Regions from separate parts of the Mus musculus genome. Here region 2 is reported to be linked to region 1. Evidence: microRNA targets listed by miRTarBase, many of them from high-throughput screens and not tested one by one. Region 1 holds a microRNA gene; the other region holds the end of a gene's coding sequence.
Evidence for each region. The annotated mature microRNA mmu-miR-3068-5p reads UUGGAGUUCAUGCAAGUUCUAACC and lies in region 1 at 1,213-1,236, opposite strand. An mRNA with a match to its seed (bases 2 to 7 or 8) in the 3' UTR can be bound and repressed. Matches are read on the target gene's strand: a 7mer-m8 pairs with bases 2 to 8, a 7mer-A1 pairs with bases 2 to 7 and ends in A, and an 8mer does both.

Region 2: miRTarBase lists Iffo2 as a target of mmu-miR-3068-5p. The part of its 3' UTR that is shown has no 7-base or 8-base seed match.

The regions. Positions count from the first base shown.
Region 1 is chr12:87,436,512-87,439,912 of GRCm38, forward strand. It overlaps Mir3068 (microRNA 3068), which reads right to left and starts at 1,246; the gene lies at 1,168-1,246. It overlaps Alkbh1 (alkB homolog 1, histone H2A dioxygenase), which reads right to left. Exons shown (of 6, transcript NM_001102565.1): 3 at 1,886-2,048.
Region 2 is chr4:139,615,801-139,619,201 of GRCm38, forward strand. Iffo2 (intermediate filament family orphan 2) reads left to right here. Exons shown (of 9, transcript NM_001205173.1): 9 at 528-3,401. The coding sequence ends at 633. Among named protein-coding and RNA genes, the nearest start is that of Aldh4a1, 5.4 kb to the right of the region's middle.

The DNA of each region.
Region 1 (3,401 bases):
CGCTACAGACTTTGGGAGTGGAGAGAACCTCATGTACCGCTCACAGCACTGGAGCACAGCATGACCCACATACCTGGACGGATCATCCCAGTGAGAACACTGAGACATACATCACACAGCACCAGGACTCAGAATATTAATTTCTTCTGGCTTTGACAACATAAGGTATAACCACCACCATTTTTATTTTTGCTAATAGACAGAAAAGTATTCCCCATTGGCTATTGATTGATTTATTAGAGGTTCATCTGAGCTATCTCAGAACGCAGCTGAGATTTCTATAATCATATATCAGAAGGAAAGAATAAGTTATTTGAAAACACAGGCTGGTTTAGTGCTATTAAGCACCATAATTTCTTTCTCTTTTATTTTTCTTTTTCTTCCCAGACAGGGTTTCTCTATGTAGCCCTGGCTATCCTGGAACTCACTCTGTAGACCAGGCTGGCCTCGAACTCAGAGATCTGCCTACCTCTGCTGGGATTAAAGGCGTGCGCCACCACTCTGTAATTTCATTCAGTCACCCCTTCCTTACACTGCCTTCAGTTCTAAGGGAAGCACTAAAAGCTGAAGAACAGGGAAGGTTTCCCTCACGGCTCCTACATGTACCTCAAATTATGGACTAAGGAAGCTTTAAAGGAAACCACTTTCCCTCTCCACATAAGACTATCTTTTATTTCCCCCCTAGAATCAGGCTAACAGTTTATGGCCACCAAGCATCTTCTAAGGATTTCTCACCTATATTCACAACACTCAGGAAGGAAATGTTAAAGAACTTGCTGAAGATTACCCAGCTACTATGGAAGGAGCAAGGACCTGAAGACAGGCAATCTGACTCCAGAGCCGCTGTTCTAGAGTGTTAAACCCTGTACAGTTTGGTCCTACTCTACCTAAAATGCCCACTTCCTGTTTGTCTACTGTACCTGTGACTGCCAGGAAGCATCTTCTGTAAGTTAATCCAACCTTGCCACATGAGTGACCACTCTCATGATCATGTATAAACTCTACACTGGATTCTGCCAAGGAATCTACTTAAATGTTCTTATTTCTTCATGTTTTTACAAAAATCATAGAAGTCAGGAAGTGTTTTCTTGCCTTCCTTTTTAGAATGGAAATAAACAAGCAGGTTAAATAACACCACCCTGCAGCATGAGAACTGAGCAGATGGAAGCAGAATGTTGGAGTACTGCAATTCACCCAGCTACTGAGTAAGCTGGTTAGAACTTGCATGAACTCCAATTACTCTCGCATACTCTGTCCCCCTTGCTTGGCCACAGACAAGAGTCAAGCAAGGTCTACGGATATGCCCATCTGTGTGTGTGTGTGTGTGTGTGTGTGAGAGAGAGAGAGAGAGAGAGAAAATAGATACAATTATAAAAAACAGCATTAAATAGTAATTTTTCTTGGATACATTCACCCTGTTTGGAAGAATTACTTCCTCCTGGGTTTCCCAAGTTCCTAATCACTATTAAAGAGTGTCCATATCCTAAAGTTTTGTGTCTCCAATGCCTAGGTACCCAATTGATTTCTCCAATGAGTATTTGTGGAATGAATGCTGAAACATCAACATCCAGGCACTAGTTCTTCCATGAGCAACAACCGACCCATCACAAAAGAACTAGTGTGAGCAACTCCATGTAAAACCCAAGTTCTTCCTATGAGTCTTTAAAGGAACATACTTTATATAAAAATGCCTGAATCAGAATTAGAACATGTGATGATGAATGTGGACGAACTCAGTGTCTAAGCTACAATAAAAATATTCAAAGTGGATCTCAGTTTAATATAACCGTTAAATCCTCTGTCCCAATGTTCTTGGGGAAACAAAAGAACAGTGCTGTGTAGAAATGGGGGGGGGGGGGGCAAAAACCTCAACACAGCTGCTTACCTTAGGACCTCTTTGCTCTGTTCCCACAGTCCTTGGGTCTCTTCTTTAGTCATGTGCTTGTCCAGGTTACACACATTAGGTTTCTGGGAGTACAACTTAAGGCACTGTTTTACCCAGTGCCTCTGGCATCCCGGGAGGAAGGGGTTTGGAATGAAAATAAATCCTGTAAAAGACAAAAGATGGGTGTATGTGTGTTGAAATTGTTCTGGTTTCTTTTTTCATATTCTTTTTTTTTTTTGGTTTTTCGAGATAGGGTTTCTCTGTATAGCCCTGGCTGTCCTGGCACTCACTTTGTAGACCAGGCTGGCCTTGAACTCAGAAATCTGCCTACCTCTGCCTCCCGAGTGCTGGGATTAAAGGTGTGCGTTGCCATGCCCGGCTCTTTTTTCGTATTCTTATGCCTACTATTCTCTTGTTTACTTCCCATATCCTTTCTACTTAAAGTTAATGAAAAACCAACTTCTGACGAACATGAGACAGTGTAAATATCTGACTTTTGGGGACATTCTCAAGAGGAATACATAATCTACAAGGTTAGCTGTCAACAGTGCTATCCTAAAGCAACTTCAGAACTGAAGGTTCGCCGGGCATGGTGGCGCACGCCTTTAATCCCAGCACTTGGGAGGCAGAGGTAGGCGGATTTCTGAGTTCGAGGCCAGCTTGGTCTACAGAGTGAGTTCCAGGACAGCCAGGGCTACACAGAGAAACCCTGTCTCAAAAAAGCCAAAAAAACAAAACAAAACAAAAAAACAGAACTGAAAGTTCACCCTTAGACTTTTTTTTAATCCAGTCCCAATAAGTCACAAGACTCCCCCAAGTCACTTTTGCATACAGAAGTCTACCTCCAACACTGGATTTAATTAATCATACATTCATCCAGTAAATGGAACACTAGTTATTAGTCTATTTTGTTTCTCGGCATCAAATCTACCTTTCTTGAACATATAAATGCATATAAGTCCAATTTTAGAGCATCTGAAACCATCTTCTTGCTTTGACCAGCACTGTACACATGTTGTGCACAGACCAAGTGCAGGCAAAACCACACACTCCCACATAAGAAAATACTATTCTAACATTTCCAAAAGATTAAGAATATGTCTGATCCAGTGCACACTTTCGAAGTAACTCCCAATTTAATGCCTCTAGGCAGTCTAGTTCAGAATGTGGCTCATTTGTCTGTAACTCCAGCTGCAGAGATCTGATATACTCTTCTCTCCTTTAAGTACGCATGTGCACATACCCTTCTCCACCCCATATGTAATAAAAAATGTTCTCAACTTAGGCCAGAGATATGGCCCAGCAGTTAAGAGCACTTCCAGAGACAGTTTTGGTTCCAAACACTAACATGGCAGCTCATAACCATCGTACAGAGCTGGAGAGATGGCTCAGCCGTTAAGAACACTGACTGCTCTTCCAGAGGTCCTGAGTTCAATTCCCAGCAACCATATGGTGGCTCACAACCATTTGTAATGGGCATCCGATGTCACCTTCTGGTGTGTCTGAAGACAGCTAC
Region 2 (3,401 bases), not on the chromosome of region 1:
TGCTGGGATTAAAGGCGTGCGCCACCATGCTCGGTGGGTGGAGGCGTTTTCTTATCTGAGGTTCCTTCTTCCCAGTTACCTGGGGTTTTCAGTGGGCATCGCTTTGTTACCTGGGGTTTTCAGAGGGCACCACTTTGTGCTCAGACCAGGGATGATGGAAAGTTACAGAATGAATACCCACGACCACCCCACCCCCCACTCCCAAAGAGAAGCCACACGCTACAGTAAGCAGTGGCTAGGGTAGAGGTCCCAAGGAATGCCAAGAGCCCTAGGCAGCTTATGGAACCTACAGGGACTGGGAGAAAGTGCGCCTTGCAGGGATCTCACAGCAGGAGCCCCTCAGGGTAGCCGCCACTGTGTTGTTGCTGAGAGTGGAACCCAGAGCCTTGTGCATACTAGGCAAAAGTTTTGCTCACCCCAGACCCTTCGGGTAGGTTTTTTAACAGGTGTGACCGGCCAGAGCTCCGGGCCCTGGGCCGTTAGGGTCCCCCAGGCTGCTCTCTGAAAGGCTTTGGTTTCTAATGCAGGAATTCACCGTCCCCCAGCTCCGTGGCCAGCAGTGACTCAGGAAGTACAGACGAAATCCAGGAAGACCTGGAGCGGGAGGCGGATGTGGAGCCCATGGTCAGCTGATGACGGAGGCCCGACGCTCCTGGTGGTCTTGGTGATGGGGTCCAGCCTCCTCTCCCCACTGAGCCGTGTGGGCTCCACTCCTCGACACAGACTTCTGTCCTCCCTTCTCCGGAGGCCCAGCGGGACCGCTGCTTCCTTCCTTCCTCCACCACCGACCCATGGAATGGTGCTGTCGATTTTTCTATTGTCCCCACACACACCACAAACGCAGACTTTTGTGCGTCGATGCAGTGCAACTGTGCCTTCTCCCTTAAGCTGAGCCACTTTGAGCTCCAAAGAATTCTTCCTAGCAGGTGTTTTTTTAAATATAAAACTCTAAGGTGAGGGTGGGGCCTGGAGGCGTGGTAGCTTTTGGTTTTCTCCCTCCCACCTGCTCCTCTGATTGGACATGAGCTTTGCTCCCTCCCTCTGTCCCAAGATGACTTGCGGTGGTCTGCTTTCTCAAGGAAGTAGACTGTGTTACCTCCAGAGCTGGGCGAGGAGGAGTCGTCAATACTTTCTCACCCAGGGATAGAGTGGTGGACGGAAGTGGAGGGAGGGAAGACCAATTTTTTTCTTCTTCTTTTGGATCTAGTGGCGATGTATCGGGGAAAGGCACTGTGGGGGAAGGAAGAACCTCACTGTGTTTAAACTATGCAAAAAACAAAAACAAAAAACAAACAAACAAAAAAACCTAAAAGCAGCTTGCCTTATATCATTGGGGAAGGCAGGCCCTCTCTCAGACTTCTGGGAACTGGGAGAGAGGCCAAGGTTGGCATGAGTCCCTCATAGCCTCTGAGGTTCAGAGGTGGCTTTGGGGGTGGTCCCAGTCAGATTGCTGGTAAGGCCTGCCTGCATTCTGCAAGCCGGCCCACTGGACTGATGGTTTTCTTGGGGACCTCTGTGGGGTGGGGTGGGGTGGGTGGTGGTCTTTTATTTTCCTGATGACTTGATGTTCATTCCCGCCTCTCCAATCACCTGCCAGGTTCCATGGTTGTAATTTCTCTGTGAGAAAGTATGAACAGGCCAGGCCTGCTACCTACTCTGTCCTCCACAGTACCGTCTTGGTCCTCCGTTGTCCCTCTGGCTGGGGGGAAAAAGCCTTGTTGGGGGGGGGGGAGTGGCATGGCTGCTGGCAGGCTGGCAATGACTGGAGAGAAGCCTCAAGTGAGGACCGTCCTCATTCATACATGCTTTCCATACCCATCTGTCTGGACGCTGAGCCAGTGATTCCCCAAGGCTCCCCTGGGGCCTGAGGTAAGGGGCCATAAGATAGAGCATCCGTCTATCAGAGAGCAGCTGGCGACTTGCCTAGCAACAATCAGGTTTTGTTTTTATTTCTTTCCTTATTTTGGGGTCCACTCTAGTGGTTTTGATGGCCTATGTTGTTTTTATTGACCCAGTGGGTTCCTCTGGAGTTCAAAGGAACAAAATGTCCCCAGGGATCAGAACCCATGGCCCTCTGAGGCCTGGGTGGTAAAGGGCAGAGGACTCTGGAACCATAGTGGTACCCGAGCCTCCTCTTTATCCCTCTGTTTCTCTCTAGGTGGTTCCATTATCTGTTTTGCACTTAGAGCCAGTGTACATAGTAGGCTTATGTATGGATAGAGAGGAGAGAGGATGTGTTTGTTGGTGGCTTGTAACTTATCAGAACTTGGTGGCCTTTCTTACGTGTGTCTTCCATGATGTGGGGAGGGGTTTCCCATTGGTCCCTGTGCAGGTACTTGGAGGGACAATTGTTTGGGAAAAGACACAGCCCCTGTCCTCACTATTCTCTTCCCCTTTCTCACCAATCCTTCTTTTAAAGGTTACAGGGTTCATACACTTCTGGTTATTATTATTGTGTGTTATTGATATTATTGTTTTGGTTTTATTTTATTCTATGTTATTTTTTTAACCAAAGGTTATCAGAGCCAGATGGGCCTGGACCTTAGCTGCTGTAAAGATTTCCGTTTCTGTGAGGGCAGGAGGAGGGTTGCCCTCATGGGTCCTTGACTGAGGTTGGGGACCGTTTCCATCCAGCGGTAAAGCGGTAGAGTCTGGTAGTCAGGTGGGCAGAGCAGAAGCCAGCCCTTGATCGTTCTTCATGGAGGTGGTGGGCTGACATGTATCTCTAGCGTTAAGACAGGAAGCAACAGCGTAAACGTTTGAGGGGATGGCTGTGTACACAGCTACTGTGTAGTTGCTGGTCTCTGGTGTTATTTAACTTTCCCACCTGTATACATAGGTCATTTGTCTGGTGTGCATGAGAAAAGCAGACTCCTTTGGGTTCCCTCCTGCTGACTTTCAAAGTCTGCTTTCCCCTGGGAGGTGGAGCTCTGAGGCAGGAGGATGAGTGGAGAGGAGCAAGGGTGTGGTAGGCATGTTTCCTGGCTTGGTCTGGGCTCTGGGCCTGGCCTCCTCTTAGTGTTTGGTTTGTTCGTTTCGTAGTTCGTTGCCAGTGGGTCCTGCTTGTGCTCACTGTGAGCCCACAGCTTGCCCAGAAAGACCCCACCCCTCACTGGGGCCGCCTCTCACTGGGGCAGCGCCTGCCCTGTCTGGACGAACTTGTCCACCCGTGTAAACATGTACATATGTTCTCTTGACTTTTCTATGTCTGAGCCCCGTGTCATATTGACACGGGGGGGCTCAGGGCTTCTCAGATGGGCTCCCCGTGTTGCCCCTGGCCATGCTCCTAGTTTGGGGGTCACATACACAGGCACAGCAGGGAGACAGCATCCTTTCAGGTTCCTGGTTGGTCGTGAAACACACACACACACACACACACACACACACACACACACACACAC